Linked DNA regions of Sus scrofa. The main gene of each other region encodes a partner of the protein of the gene in region 3 in a complex. Links are inferred from orthologs where the notes say so. Each region holds a gene or a part of one and is shown on either strand. Other genes may lie near its edges. The genes, in order: AIFM3, HPCA, NMT1 and NCS1.

What was found.
Region 1: the proteins of NMT1 (region 3) and AIFM3 are in contact, whole or in part, in a crystal structure (PDB 6SJZ), measured with the Homo sapiens proteins. The link is inferred for Sus scrofa from reciprocal best matches to the Homo sapiens genes NMT1 and AIFM3. Residues at the interface, in NP_066565.1 of Homo sapiens: Tyr180, Val181, Glu182, Asp183, Asp184, Asp185, Phe188, Arg189, Phe190, Asn246, Thr282, Ala283, Gly284, Tyr296, His298, Phe311, Tyr401, Ser405, Ile469, Gly470, Asp471, Asn473, Leu474, Leu495, Gln496; in NP_001373743.1 of Homo sapiens: Gly2, Cys4, Phe5, Ser6, Lys7, Pro8.
Region 2: the proteins of NMT1 (region 3) and HPCA are in contact, whole or in part, in a crystal structure (PDB 7OWM), measured with the Homo sapiens proteins. The link is inferred for Sus scrofa from reciprocal best matches to the Homo sapiens genes NMT1 and HPCA. Residues at the interface, in NP_066565.1 of Homo sapiens: Tyr180, Val181, Glu182, Asp183, Asp184, Asp185, Met187, Phe188, Arg189, Phe190, Tyr192, Ile245, Asn246, Phe247, Thr282, Ala283, Gly284, Tyr296, His298, Ser300, Lys310, Phe311, Ser312, His313, Tyr401, Leu403, Ser405, Tyr420, Gly468, Ile469; in NP_002134.2 of Homo sapiens: Gly2, Lys3, Gln4, Asn5, Ser6, Lys7, Leu8, Arg9.
Region 4: the proteins of NMT1 (region 3) and NCS1 are in contact, whole or in part, in a crystal structure (PDB 5O9S), measured with the Homo sapiens proteins. The link is inferred for Sus scrofa from reciprocal best matches to the Homo sapiens genes NMT1 and NCS1. Residues at the interface, in NP_066565.1 of Homo sapiens: Tyr180, Val181, Glu182, Asp183, Asp184, Asp185, Met187, Phe188, Arg189, Phe190, Tyr192, Asn246, Thr282, Ala283, Gly284, Arg295, Tyr296, His298, Ser300, Lys310, Phe311, Ser312, Tyr401, Leu403, Ser405, Tyr420, Gly468, Ile469, Gly470, Asp471; in NP_055101.2 of Homo sapiens: Gly2, Lys3, Ser4, Asn5, Ser6, Lys7, Leu8, Lys9.

Annotation. Positions count from the first base shown.
Region 1 is NC_010456.5:50,561,281-50,565,548, forward strand, and holds the start of AIFM3 (apoptosis-inducing factor 3), read left to right. Parts: upstream 1-1,330; 5' UTR 1,331-1,425; intron 1,426-1,601; exon of another isoform or gene 1,602-1,917; intron 1,918-3,085; exon of another isoform or gene 3,086-3,147; intron 3,148-3,587; exon of another isoform or gene 3,588-3,604; 5' UTR 3,605-3,720; coding exon 3,721-3,751; intron 3,752-4,268. UniProt on the Homo sapiens protein: Induces apoptosis through a caspase dependent pathway. Reduces mitochondrial membrane potential.
Region 2 is NC_010448.4:89,193,816-89,196,698, forward strand, and holds the end of HPCA (neuron-specific calcium-binding protein hippocalcin), read left to right. Parts: intron 1-2,012; coding exon 2,013-2,118; intron 2,119-2,234; coding exon 2,235-2,332; downstream 2,333-2,883. UniProt on the Homo sapiens protein: Calcium-binding protein that may play a role in the regulation of voltage-dependent calcium channels. May also play a role in cyclic-nucleotide-mediated signaling through the regulation of adenylate and guanylate cyclases.
Region 3 is NC_010454.4:18,306,318-18,309,961, forward strand, and holds the end of NMT1 (glycylpeptide N-tetradecanoyltransferase 1), read right to left. Parts: intron 3,010-3,644; coding exon 2,839-3,009; intron 2,356-2,838; coding exon 2,188-2,355; exon of another isoform or gene 1,253-2,187; coding exon 1,115-1,252; intron 467-1,114; coding exon 446-466; 3' UTR 119-445; downstream 1-118.
Region 4 is NC_010443.5:270,315,181-270,318,824, forward strand, and holds part of NCS1 (neuronal calcium sensor 1), read left to right. Parts: intron 1-401; coding exon 402-480; intron 481-1,798; coding exon 1,799-1,887; intron 1,888-2,236; coding exon 2,237-2,314; intron 2,315-3,644. UniProt on the Homo sapiens protein: Neuronal calcium sensor, regulator of G protein-coupled receptor phosphorylation in a calcium dependent manner. Directly regulates GRK1 (RHOK), but not GRK2 to GRK5. Can substitute for calmodulin. Stimulates PI4KB kinase activity.

The DNA.
Region 1 (4,268 bases), on a different chromosome or scaffold from region 3:
CAGATTAGGACTGAAACTGCATTGGAGACCCTGCAGCCTTGGCCAGCTGGCCAGCCAGGACCTACATCTCTGCCCTGCCTCTCAGTAGCAGTGTGGCTTTGCAGAGTCTCTAACTTCTCTGAACCTCAGTTTCCACATCTGTGAAATGAAGATGGTACTGAGAACCTTCCTCCTTGGCTGTTGTGAAGATCAGAGGAAGAAGTGCAAGCTAAGCCACAGCCATGGTTATTTATGGGGCACACTGCATTCCTGACTAGGGGGCTGTTGGAGGTGGGTAGGGCTGCAAGGTCAGCACACGTGTGGAGCAGGGACAGGCTCTTTGGAGGCCAAGGCCACCAGGCTCAAGCAACACCATCTGCCCAGTGACAGCAGGACTCCTGTGACCGTGGCAACAATCTTGCTATGGAAACCTAACATGGCCTCAGAGGGATGGATTGAGCAGAGCTGCCTGTCCCTCCAGGCCTCGCCCCACACCCACCTGCAGCGTGTGACCCACGTAGACCCTGTTCCTGCCCCTGGTGTGATTCAGCCTCCCTGAGATTCCCCTTCTGTAAAATGAGGGCAGTTGTACTTGCCCCCTGGGCTGCCACGGAGGCTGGTCAGCCTGGCACAGGGGACTGTTGCTACTGTCCTTGTCGTCCTTACCTAAGGGGAGCAAGGCCCAGAAAGGGGGAGATGGCAAAGCTAACAAAGGAGCAATGATGACAGGACAACAGTTGGTGGCCCCATGTGCTTAGTGCTGGATGAACCACCATGTCCTGGAACACTTGCTTCTTTCATCTCCCACATGGTCACTGAAACCCGGTTTGCTGGAGAGACAAACCCTACCTGAGTTCAGCGCAGAGATCTGGACAGCATAAGGAAACCTGAGGGGCCAGGAGCCAAGCAGCAGGGCTGAGACAGTCTTGGAAGGCTGCTGGAAGAGTTTCTTGGAGGAGGGGACACAACTCCCAATGCACCATTGTAATTTATGAATATAACGTTCTCCTGGTATAATGACAAGTGGGAAAGAGAAAATGTAACCAAATATAAAGTAGAACGTTCTGCGTGTGGACAGAGCAGAGGGGAGGACAGCTGGCCAGGGTGTCTTGGGCCGTCAGGAGCTGTTTGGTTTTTCTTTCTTGGGGAGGTTTCTGCGGGTGATTCAACTTGCCCCACACCGCCCGCAGACGTTCTGAGAATTGGGAAAGAAAGAAAAGGAAAAAGACTGGAGCTCGGCCCAGCATGGCACCCCTTGGGGTCGCGAAGATGCCGGCGACCCAGACCCGTCCGGGCGCCTGCGGCCTTCCCCCGCCCCCGCCCCGCCCAGCGTCCCGCCCGGGCGCCCCATTTGCACCGGTCGCCGGGCCGCAGTGTCGCCGCAGCGCCGGCCCCGCCCCGCCGCGGCCCCAGCGGCTCCGGAGCGGACGCCCGCGCCGAGCGCAGGTGAGCCCGCGGGTCCGCCCGGGCCGGCACCCGCCCCGCCCCGCGCCCCGGGCTGGCCCGTGGGGGACTGGGGGGCGGCCGCCCGGAGGGGAAGGGCGGCCCGGGCGCCCCCTTCCTTCTCCCCTCCCCCGCCGTGCCGCCCGCTCGCCGCGGGGCCCTACTGTGTGCCAGTCGCCTTCCTGGGCTGCCCGGCGGGTCCGGGAACCTGGCCGGAGCGGGAAGATGGCTGGCAAGGGCTTCGGGGAGCAGGGCTACGCGCAAAGGCGGGAGACTTGCCCTGAGCCCCGAGGGGTAGGAGGGAAGGGCCGCAGCCCTCAGGACGCCGGGAGCCACTGAGGGCGGGAGCGGCAGGAAGGAACCCCTCAGGGTGCGCCTGAGAAGGGCCCAGGGATCCCCGGAGAAGAGCAAGTCCGGGGCTGAGAGGGGAGCAGTTTTGCCCCACCGGCACCGCTGGGCCCTGGGACTGGTCCAGGGACAAGACGCCGGCTCCTGGTAGGTAGTTAGCACTGTTATAGCTTTTTGGCTTTGGGTAGTGTGTGGACAAGGGACAGCACTCCAGAAACTTGGGGTACCCTCTCCTGGTGCCCCTGGCCAGGACCTTTGCCTTGAGTAGGGACATCTGGAGGTAGGAGGCTCCATGCCAGCCTGGCACTCAGTAGGCCTGGAGGTTTAGTCCCTCAGTAGGCCCAAGACCCTGGAGGGAAGACACCTGGTCCCCAGGAAAGGGAGGGAGCCGCATGCACAGGCACCTGGTGGCAAATTGAAGTCCCACTTTTTCTGGAATCTGTGGCCCAACAGTGAGGCCTGAGGCCAGGCACGAAGGTGGCAGGCAGGGCAGAGGCAAAGGGACAGCCAGGATCTGGGGAGGGGCACCCTCATGCCAGGGAGGAGCAGGTGGGGCAGGTGGTGGCTCAGTTTTACAGACCTGCCTTGGGGGAAGGAGCATGGGTGCGCCCAGGTGGCCTTCAGTTGACACTGCCTCCTCACCTGTGATGGCCCTCCAGGGCAGGTGACACCAGGGGCCAGGCAATAGACAAGCCTTCTCCAGCCTTTCCTCCCTCTTGGCTCCCTGCTCTCAGACACCCACCCAGGCCCTTGAAGAAATCTGGAGAAGACCAGGTGGGCCTCAGCCTGCCGAGGTCATGTAAACAAGGCAGCTACGCCTTTGTCCTGGGCCTTCCAAAGTCCAGTGTGGAAGCTGCATCTTCCAGAAGGCCCACCCTGTGGCCTTGAGAGGTCCTTGGCTGCGGGGCTTCCTTTGTTGACAGGGTGGCCTCTTCCCCAGCCCCATGGCTTGAGGGAACAAACTAAGATGGGAGGGGTTGGAAGGCCACCTGGATGCCCCTACCTGCTGCTTGACCTTGGCAAGCCCTTGGCCCCTCGGTTTCCTGGGCATGACCTCAACACCAGGGGCATTTGTGAAGAGCAGAGGAGTAGGGTAGAAGCCAGGGCTGTGTGCCAGGCCTCCTTTTCCCCCAAGCCCATCAGGCCCCGGGCTGGCTGCCCACTTCTGTTCACATGGAGCTGGGTTTCCCTGGGGACCAGTGGCAGGGCCCAGCCCCGCCCCCAGCCCCTCCTGGCCACAGCTCACACTGGGAGGAGGGGTGGAGGCTGAGCTGCCTGGTCTCCTGGACCCCTGCCCCCTTGCCCTGCCTTCCAGGGCCGGGCAGCTTGGTCTACCGTGGGGCTGGGAACGAGAAGCAGTGGCTGTCCTTGGAGGAGGTGGGTATCAGGGCTGACAGCCAGGGTGGGGCCAGGGCCAGGGAGAACTAAATGTCACCCCTATGGAGGAGGAACCTACAGGATCCCTAGGATCAAGAAGGCTCTGGTCTGCCAAACTGACCCAGGCTGGACCCCAGGCATGTGGCCTCCCTGGAGAGGGGAGAGTCCTAGAGTGCCTAGACCACAGGCTTTTAGAGGGCAGCAGAGGTGGGCAGATTTCCTGGACCTAAAGGGCAGCTGAGGTTGGAGCAGAGGGGCCCAGGCAAAGGGGGAAGGGAGGGAGGGTGCTGAGCTTAGGGGGCCTGGAAGCGGGGTTTCCTCTGGGACCCGGCTCCCCTACACACCAGGGTCCCAGCTCCTAGGCAGGCCTCTTTCAGAAGTCCCCCACTCTCTTTCTGTGCCTCTGCCCTCAGGCCTCATCAAAGCCCTCCTCCCCATAGATGCTGTCTCCCCGCAGGTCCTCGAAGCAGCTCCGACCTCTCTAAGGGCCTCAGAAGGTCCTGCCCCCTGGGGCACCCTAGGCCTCCCACGGCCCACCACCTCTGCACCTGCCCTACCCACAGGCCACTCGCCATGGGCGGCTGCTTCTCCAAGCCCAAGCCAGGTACCTCCTTTCTTCTTCCTCCTCCCCCTCCTGCCACCGTCCTCCTCTCCCTCCCCCTCTGTCTCCAAAGTAGGTCAGGCTGGGCAGGCAGCAGCTCCCTCCGAATGTTAACACTAAGGGCAGGCGTGGGGTGAGGGGGCAGTCACTGAAGCCCTCTTTCTCTGGGGCTTAGGGTGCTGGTGGTGGAAATAACAGCAAAATCTTTCTCAGAAAGGGGAGACGTGTTCCTCCTGCTGCTGAGTGGGGGCAGAAGATGCTGTCTCCCTCAGGGTGGGGGAGGGTGGCTCTGGGGACACTGTGAGCCCCTGTGTGACCAGAGCATGTATTACCCCTCTGAGCCTCCTCCCCCTCAAAAGAAGCCTGAGTTCTCAAAATTGCCGTGAGGTGGAGGGGGGGATATGTCCTGGCCCTTTTCACCTCTCCTGCCCACCTGTGTGACCTTGGGCTGCCTCCTTAGCCTCTCTGGACACTCCCCCACCCAGAAAGGAACACCCCACACTGCCGAGCACCAGGGTGC
Region 2 (2,883 bases), on a different chromosome or scaffold from region 3:
AGGATGTGGTGGATGAATAATGATTATGATATTAGCTGCTATTTACTGACCACCTAGTCTTGCCAACTATCCAACCCTAACTCCCTTATCAGGATAGTCTAATACTCTATATATCCTGATAAGGGAGTTAGGATTGCCCCATTTTACAGATGAGGAAATTGAGGTTAAGTACTTGCCCAAGGCTACACAGCAAGTGATTAGCGGAATCAGGATGCCACTCCTTGTCCGCCTTACTTCAAACACACTGCTTGGAGGGGTCATCAGCATCCCACAAGCACCTAACCAGCCGCTAAGAGGAAGCAGGTTCTAATCTGGTCTCTGTCATCAATTCTCTTTCTGAGCCTCAGTTTCTTGTCTCGATCTCAATACCTGCTTTTCAGAGCTGTTGCAAGCATGAGAATAATGCATGTTAAGTCCCTTGCACATAGTAGGGGTCTGTAAATGGTAGCTAGTGTTATTGTTCCAGGCAGAAACTGTAAATGCTGGGAATCCTGAAAGGCACAGGGGTGTCTGGTTGTGGCAAAATCACTTACGGGGGGAGGCCTGATGGAGAGGTCAGCAGGGACCAGAGTGTGAAGTGCCTTGAATGCCAAGGGCCAAATGTTTGGACTTGGTAAAGGAAGGCAGTGGGAGGTGCCAACAGCTTTTAAACAAGGGAGTCCCTGCCAGATGCCAGGCACTGTGCCTACGTTCTGGGGATCTGAGCACTAGCTAGATGTCCACGGTTCTCATCTGTATGCTGGGGGCAAGGAGCACTCCTACAAAGGCATAATTTCTTCGGCGAGGCGTCTCCAAAGGGGACTCTGGGGCAGCGTATGGGCCCTGACCCACCCTGGATCAGAGGAGGCCTCCCTAACAAAGCACCATGTAAAGAGAGCCCCAAGGAGGAGTGGGAGGCAGCAGAAGGAGCGTGGGGCAGCATCCAGAAGGAGCCGGGTGCAAGGCAGTCCTGGAGGGAGGCCTGTGTAAGATGGGAACGAGGGGGCGGCCCCTGGGCTAGGGACTTGCTGATGGAGATCTGCGTTTGGGAAACGCTTTCAGAGGCAGCGTAGGGAACAGACCCGAGGGAGAGAGGCCAGAAGAGACCACTGCGGGAGGCCAAAGCCGAATCTGAGGCTAGGGAAGTTTATGGGACAGGAGAAGAAGGCAGACTTCTTGGAGGTTTCAGTAGTAAAAAGCTGGTAGAGTGAGATGACCGGTCTGGTCCTTGAGCTCTGGGCCCCAGGACCCAGCCCACAGACCAAGCCCTACGTGCTCGGTGTACACTTACCGCGAAAATCCCTCCTTTGAGTCGCCTCCAGAGCTCCTGCACCTGGCAGCTGCGGTCCTGGGCCCAGCACAGCCCAAGCTCTCCTCGCCCCCAGCAGATGCGCCTATGCGTTTATTTGCGTTATATCCCCGCTCCCCGTGGGCCCAGCAGCCTCAGGCCCCCAGCCCTCAGGGCGACCCTGCGCCCCCTGCTGGCCAGAGTGGCATCGCAGCCCAGTGCCACCACCCCCACCTTGACCAGCGCCCCCTGTCGGCCATCGAGTGCGGGCCTTTTCCTGGAGCCCTGGAATTTCAGAGTAGTTCTTCGAACCTGGTACTTAACCCGGTACTTGTGGCGCTTGGCAAGAGCTCCTAAGTCCTGGGTGCCAGGCCCTTCGCCATCTGGGCCCCGATGTCCTCCAGCATTTCTCCTGACCGCCTGCATTCAGCCACCTCCAAATTCCCAGCGCCCACTCAGAGCTTCCCGCTTCGGGGCCTTTGTACACGCAGATCTCTCTGCCAGCAATCCCTTTCCCACCGAGTGCCCCGAGGAAACTTGGTCCGGGCCAGCTCCAAGAGCCCCCTCTTCTGGGAAGCCATCCCAGTCACTCCTTCCCCAGTTACCCACGCCTCCGTCACCCCCCCTCCGCCTCACCACGGCGGGAGCAGCGATCGTCGGCACAGCTGGAGGCGTTTTGCAAAGTTGGGGGTGGAGGGTTCAGGCAGGCTCCCCTCACTCCCTGCCTTCCCCACCCAACCCCTAGGCCATTTACAAGATGGTTTCTTCCGTGATGAAGATGCCAGAGGACGAGTCGACCCCGGAAAAGAGGACGGAGAAAATCTTCCGCCAAATGGATACAAACAACGACGGTGAGGAGGCCGGGGCGGGGCGGGCGCCACTCCCCCTTCCTCTTCTGCGGTCCTGCTCTGCGTCCCCTCTCTTTGCTGCCGCCTTCTCCCCCATCATTGCGCCCCTTGTCTCGCAGGCAAGCTGTCCCTGGAGGAGTTCATCCGCGGGGCCAAAAGCGACCCGTCCATCGTGCGTCTGCTGCAGTGCGACCCCAGCAGCGCCTCCCAGTTCTGAGCAAGAGGAGCCGGGTTTCCCCTCCCCGCCGTCACTGGCCCTCTCCCGGCTCTCAGCTTCCTCGCCCTTGTGTCTATTCCAGGCTGGGGTCAGATTGCCAGCCCCAGGGTCTGCCCTCTGGGAAGCCTACGGAGAAAGGAATCCTGCAGTCCCCTCAACGTCCAAGCAAGCCGGTGGTTAGCAACGCCCAGTTCAAGAGTCAGTCTCTCCCTTGGCACTGATAGACACAGGCTCTGGCTTGGTCTGCCCCTCGGAGTCCACCCTCCCTTACCTAGATACCAGAACTCCAGCCTCTCCCTCGCCCCCACCAGCCATGAGGCCAGACTTCCCTTCCCCAGCCATGGGGCAAGCTCCCTCACGTCTACCCCCACCCTGGTAGATCTCAGCCTTGGTGGAATTGGGAATCATACCCAGGTAAGGAGCGTGTTCTTTATTTGGAGCCGAGAGAAAGATTCTAGATGTGTGGGGGTTTGAGGAAAAACCTTCCTTGAGCCATCCTTCCTCCCAGGAGGGCCCCAACCCTGCCTGCTCCTGCCCTTGTTGGCTTGGAG
Region 3 (3,644 bases):
TGTTTGTCTGGCTCTGGCCGTAGATTCTAATTTTGAGGAATGATCTGGATTCAGTTTTTCATTAGAGACCAAACATCCTTGTACATTTGGAACATGAAAGATATTTAAAATATTTATATATATATATAATATATATATCCTTTTATTATTCACCCGTTAACTCCATAATATGCCAATCACGAGCTAGTTTCAGCAGTTACATTCCCTTGATCACGGCTGCATAACGTGTGATTAATTGGAAAAGAGGGAGACCAGAGACACGGCCAGAGGTGACATCACGCAGCCTACGCCATTGCAATACAATTGTCAAGTTCAGTGGCGGTTTGGTAAAGCCGGTTCAGTTCTGCTCCCCTTGCCAGGGATTCTCACGTTTGTGAAAAGTGGACCAACAAGTGGTGGGGTTCCATTTCTCAGTGGCTTTATCCAGAATCTCACTGGCAACTGATTACTGTAACACCAGCCCAACCTAGGAGAGCCAAGGGGGAAAGGCAGAGATGTGACAATTGTCCCAAGACTGTCCCACTTCCCTGCCCAGACCTGAAGTTCCAATGACGGAGCAGCAGCACGGCCCCGTGCTGTGGGAGCAGACTCCCGGTGGCCCCGGGCTCGCACACAACCTCTGTGGTGCTTTAGATGTAAAGCTGCCATCGGCATCCTGAGAAGCACCGGTCACAGGCCTCCCCCAGCTCATGGGCCAGTTATCCTATAAATGCTGATGACCCCGTGGCCCTGAGCTGCCCTTCGGAGCCGGTGGAGGGAGGCCATGCAGGATGGGGGCGGCAGAGGAGAAACCCCTCGGCTCCTCAGACTCTCCCTTCCTGGCTAATTGTGGGCACAAGACTCAGGTACTGTCTCAGGATGGTGGCCGAAGGCCCAGCCTTGTCAGATGAGGCGGCTCACCTGGTGGGCAGAGAGGCTGGTGACAAGCTCCCTGCTTCCTGTGGCTCCAGGGCCTGTGCCCTCTGCCCCCGTCACAGCAGCGGCTGGAAGGGGACACTGACCCTGTTGGTCTGGCCTCCAGAGGGAGGGCCCCACGGATGCTGGATCCCTGCCCCGAGGCCCGTCTGCATGGCAGACGCCAACTCCCTGCCCAGGGCGCGCGGCCGGCACGTACCTTCTCCGCCCCCATGCTGGGGCACTTCCAATTGTAAAGGTAATACTGCAGGTTGCCGTCCCCTATGCCGAACTTGAGCTTCTCCAGGAAGGTTTTGTTCTCCATGAGATCCAGTGCATTGAACACGTCAAACCCTTTCTGTGCGGCGGCGTCAGGGAGAAACAAGACCAGGTGAAGACAGCAGAGCTGCCGCCCCTGTGGGCCCTCTTCTATCACAGCCGAACCGAACCGAGCCGGCGGCCTCGGGAGCCACCCTCCTTCAGCAGCGCCTGCCGCGTCCCTGTTTCAGCCCGACTCCAGCCAGGGCCTCACTCGCTGGTGGCGGTTCTCATGACACTCTGAGCGCCACCTTACCTGGCCTCTCCTCAGTGTCCCTCTGAGTGCACACTTGTGTACTCAGTATCCAGGCTGTGCTCCCACTGTTCCTTGTCACGCCTCCCTGAAACACTCTGGTAATTTCCAGTCTTTTCTGAACCTTTTCCTCTGAGAAGTGGACTCCTATGAGCCACGTGGCGTTTGCAAGGCTCCCTCACTCCCTGACACCCCAACTCCTCAGGATTTTATGACATCTGAAGCGCCACTCTGAGACTGAGGCTGACACTTCCTCAATCTCACCAACTCGACTGGAAGCTCTCCCAGGGCAGGGACTGGACTGTCACTGCTTGGCGGGCACACGGACAGGCTGGTGGCCTCTCCAGTGCAAAAGAGGCCTGGGTCCCACCCCTCTGCTCGACGGTCAGCTGCTCCAGTGACACCCCGCGACAGCCCAGCCTCCCCGGCCGGATGCTGGGGAAGCGTGAGGAGAACCCCTTTCCTCCCCCCCGAGCAGCGCCTCGAGTGAGAATGAAACCCATGAAAGAAATCCGGAGGTTCAGGTTCAATGCCTGCCTGTGGTGGGGGTGTCCTTGCTCCCTCCTAGTTCTGAGCTGCAGGCTGAAAATGGCTGGGCTGTTCCCTACCGGAGCAGAAGGGCGAGGAGGCCTCCAGGCCTCCAGGCCCCCAGCCAGGGGGCAGCCACCTGCCAGTGGCGCTCCCACCGCCCCACTGCCGCTGCCCGCCCGTCTGCTGCTCACCATTTTGGCAAGAACAAGGGCGTCGCTCATGAGGTCTAGAAGCGGGGTCTGGGTGTGAACGTTGTAGAAAGAATAAGCAGCCTTTAGACTCTTGTGGGTCGGATGGTTCATGATGGTGGAGGGAAGTGTGTAAAAGCTCAGGAAATCTGTCACCTCACCACTTGCATTCTGAAGGGGAGACAACAGAGGAAGGCAGGTCACACACACGAAGGGCCCTGCAGCCTGGGAACAAAGTGGCTCCTGCTGCACTCGCCACCCTCGGGCAGCCCTGCCCCTCTAAGTGAACGGGCAGGAACGGAACCAGCGGAAACCCAGGGGCAGAAAGCGCATCGACCTGAGGACAGACCGGGAGGAAAATCCAGGTCGCGCCACGGGCCCCCAGACACCTGGCCGGCACCAGGCCAAGCGGGGACAGGCAGGGGGTCGAGGGCTCGCCTGACCACCTGACTCAGAGGGGCGCGGGAGACAGGGGCTCACGCCAGGCCCGGAGTCTCATTTTAGAAAAGGCAGGCGACAACTTCCCGTCAGGGCGTCTCAGGTGCCAACGCTCCATCACCTGCTCTTCAGTCCCGAGCCCGGGAAGCCGGCCACTTCGGGAGGACACCCCCCACAAGCTGGGAGGGGGCCCCCGAACACCCCACCACCACTTGCCTCCACCACGAAAGTATCGATGATATTCTCCTGGGGGTAGAACCAGTGCTCCACCTCCTCCTGGCTCATGACCGGCGTGAGGTGGAACTGCCTCAGGTACCGCGTGAGGAGCTGGTGCACTACTGGAATGTCCTTCTTCTCCATTGGTCGTAGCCCAGCTGTCTTGGGAGTCTGGAAGGAAGAAACCAGAGAGCATCAGCCATGCTGACTGTGGGCGCCTCGGCTCCCTCTCGAGTCCCTCAGGAACCGAAAACCTCACGCTGTCTCCCTTCCTACCCCAACCCCCAATCTATCCACCCACGCCTTCAAGAGAGAATCCCCATCCACCGTCCACGGCTGCTCAGGCACCAGTCCTGTCTCTGCAGGGTCACTGGCCCTTCCGGCCGTGACCAAGGCTGGATCCTTGGCTAAGGCCGCTATGTCAATCTCTTATCCACATGGGCCCGGCCGCGTTCCTGGGAAAAAACAACCCATCACACGCCTCCCTGTTCCAAACTCCCCAACACAGAGCACAAGACGTCCACCCTCAGAGTTCCCGTTGTGGCTCAGCAGTTAACAAATCTGACTAGCATCCGTAAGGACGCAGGTTCGATCCCTGGCCTCGCTCAGTGGGTTAAGGACCCGGCCTTGCCGTGAGCTATGGTGTAGGTCGCAAACGCAGCTAGGATCCTGCATTGCTGTGGCCGTGGTGTAGGCCGGCAGCTGTAGCTCTGATTCGACCCCTAGCCTGGGAACCTCCATGTGACGCACCTTCGGCCCCAAAAAAACAAAACAAAAAGAGACTTCCACTCTCTGGACCAGTTGGC
Region 4 (3,644 bases), on a different chromosome or scaffold from region 3:
CTGGCCCTGGGAAGAACTCTGTCCTCTCCAAGCCTCAGTTTCCTTATCGGCAAAACAAATAGGATCGGACAGTCCAGAGCCCCACCTTCTAAAGCCTCTGTGCCTGTGGTTCAAGGCCAAGGGTCTGAGAGAGGGGATTCTGGGCGGCTCCTGCCCAGAGAGGGTCACGGGCGCTGGGGGTGCCTCTTCCTCCCGCCAGATGTGGAGTCAAGCTCTCCCTCTGGCCTTACCCTGTCCCTCCTGCCTGGTCGGTCCCATTTCTGGCCCTCCCCTCCCCCTCCTTCCCCATCCCTCACCCCTGCGTCTGCTTAGCTACCTGCTTCTGCCCATCACCACCTGCCCAAGGTGCGTCCTGACCGGGCAGCTCAGCATTTACCCCCATCCCTCTCTCCCTGCCGCAGGACGGGCGGATTGAGTTCTCCGAGTTCATCCAGGCGCTGTCGGTGACCTCGAGGGGAACCCTGGACGAGAAGCTGCGGTGTAAGTCCTGCCCGCTGGGCTCCGTCGGGCGGCCGCTGGGTCGTCCTGGGCTGGAGGGAGGCCAAATCTCTGGGCCAGGCCGTCTGTCCAGGACTGAGGGTGGCACAGACGTCCTGCCCTTCCAGGTCGGAGGTGGTTTCCTGGAGGCGGCCAGGCGGGTGGACAGATGGGGCAGGAGCACAGGGCATTCTCGAAGGTGCACCTGGCGCCGGGCAGCGTGCGGTTCAGACCCGGTTCCAGGGCTGGATCCAGCACTCGGGAGGCTGTTTGGATGACTGACGGCGTGTGTCCATTTACTGGTTCACCTAACAGTTATTGACCTAACGTGGCCTCATGTCTGTGCTGGGCTGGAGGCCCGGAATCCACAGGTGTATGAGATCGAGGGGCACCTGCTCTCGTGGCTGTCCCTGTAGCTCAGGGACTTTATCCAAAAGAGCCCATAAAACTGCAGCCGGGGCTGGAAGAGGGAGGTGTGAGCCGATCAGAGAGGAACTGACCCTGTTATGAGTTGGGAGCCGAGCTGGGAAGGGTGAAGCTGGCAGGGGGTCGGGGGGCGGGAAGAGGGTTCCAGGCAGGGGATCAGCATGTGCGAGGCCTGAGGAGGGTCGAGAGAAGGCTACTGGGGGAGAGGCTGCACCCGTGCTGGCGCGAGAGGGGATCTAGCAGGAAGATGAAAGCAGCTGGGCCGGGATTCACTTCCCACTGAGACAACTTCACCGCATCGCATCGGCACCGAGAAAGCACTGCAATTTCTTTCTTTCTCTTTTTAGGAATAAAAGAGGATTTTATTTATGCCAAAGCTCCTCCCCCCTCCCTAGGCATATTATTTTCTTTTCCAAGTTGACCCTAGCTGGATCCAGCATAGTTGTGGAAAGGGGGTGGGCCGAGAGGAGGCAGAGGCAGGGGTGGGGAAGGAGAGGGGTGGCTTTAGGGCTGCTCCTGGGCTCCCTTCTGTCTCTCAGCATCAGCCTCCGAGGCCTCAGCTCTTACAGACCCAGCCCCCTCGGTTTATGTTTTGGCTGTGCCTGCGGCCTATGAAAGTTCCCAGGCCAGGGATCGAACCTGCACCACAGCAGTGACCCAAGCTGCTGCAGTGACAAGGCCAGATCCTTAACCCGCTGCACCACAAGAGAGCTCTGCCCCCTCCTTTTTACATTTACGCTTTTTCAGTAACTAGGTGACATGGTGTGTGTGTGTGTCCCCTGTCTGTCTTGGCGGGATGAATAACGGGGCTGTTGGCGGGGTGCCGAGGGGAGGGGGAGCGGCCGCCAGCCCAGCCCCGGATCAGGGCTCACTCGCCCTGGCTGCTTGACTGCAGGGGCCTTCAAGCTCTACGACTTGGATAACGACGGCTACATCACCAGGAACGAGATGCTGGACATTGTGGATGCCATTTACCAGATGGTGGTGAGAGGCCTGGGCCCTGGGGGTGTGGGGGTGGGGGCAGCAGCAGGGCATCAAACTCAGCGATGGGGCCTGGCCCAGAGGCGGCATCCCCACGCGGCCGCCCTCCTGCCTGGGGTGGGAGCTGGCAAGTGAGGGTCACTGCCTGGGGTTGCTCTGTGCCTCTTGGGGGAGGGCGGGGGCTGCTGATGGGGCTGGTCCAGAGCAGAGGGCGGATGGGGGCACGGCAGGGAGTGGGAGGGAGACGCAGTCTTCACCTGGAACCAGTTCAGGTCTGGGGGGCATGGTTGGGGGCCAAGGGCCCAGAGGGCAGAGGGCCAGGAGCCGGCCCCACCTCGCCTGTCCCCGACAGGGCAACACCGTGGAGCTGCCAGAGGAGGAGAACACCCCCGAGAAAAGGGTGGACCGGATCTTTGCCATGATGGACAAGGTGAGACCCCTGGTGTGATGGCCACTGGTCCAGCCCGCAGACATGCAGGGTTTTAAGTCAGTTCGTCCAACCCTTTTTCCTTAACTCAGCTTCTTAACCTTTTCAGTTTTTGCCACAGACCCCTTTGACATTCTGGAGAAGCTGTCTCAGAATGTTTTTAAGTGCATCAGATAACATTCGTAGGGTCAAAAAGAAAGCTATTTTGGAAGAGACTTATCCCATTTTTTTTGGCCACACCTGTGGCATGTGAAAGTTCCCGGGCCTGGGATTGAACCGGTACCATAGCAGTGACCTGAGCTGCTGCAGTGACACCACCAGATCCTTAACCTTCTGTGCCACAAGAGAATGCCTCAAAATATTTTTTAAAAAGTATTTGTGATGTGGTTTTATATGAGCTGCTTCTTCTTTTTTTTTTTTCTTTTGTCTTTTTAGGGCCGCATCCGCGGCATGTGGAGGTTCCCAGGCTGGGGTCTAATCAGAGCTGTAGCCGCTGGCCTACACCACAGCCACAGCAACGCCAGATCCGAACTGTGTCTTCGACCTACACCACAGCTCATGGCAACGCCAGATCCGTAACCCACTGAGAGAGGCCAGGGATTGAACCTGCAACCTCATGGTTCCTAGTCGGATTCGTTTCCGCTGCACCACGATGACGGGAACTCCCTTTTTTTTGTCTTTTTAGGGCCGCACCTGCGGCATATGGAGGTTCCCAGGCTAGGGGTCTAATCGGAGCTGTAGCTGCCAGCCTACACCACAGCCACAGAAACAAGGGATCCGAGCCACATCTGCTACCTGCACCACAGCTCACGGCAACGCTGGGTCCTTAACCCACTGAGCGAGGCCAGGGATCGAACCCACAACCTCATGGTTCCTAGTCAGATTCGTTAACCACTGAGCCACAACGGTGGCTGATAAGGTTGAGTGGTGGGTTTAACCAGCCCGAATTTCAAAGTGCTGATCTGTCTTCTTGATGCTTTGCAGCAGCTGTGATGTGTTACAAAAATGCTGTGATCTCCACAGCTGACAAAGTCACAGGTACTTCTGGTTCCATGGGGGATTGTCACCTAGATTCATTATGGAAGGAAGCGCTAAATTTCAGTTAGATGTTAGTGAAAAGAAAGACCTCCTTTTTCCCTATTTTAGTTCACAGACCTGCTGAATTCTATCCAAAGACCCCAGGTTAAGAAAGCCTTCTTTTTTTTTTTTTTTTGTCTTTTTAGGGCTGCACCCACGGCTTATGGAGGTTCCTAGACGAGGGGTCGAATCAGAGCTATAGCTGCCGGCCTACACCACAGCAAGAGCAACGTGGGCTCTGAGCCGCATCTTCAAC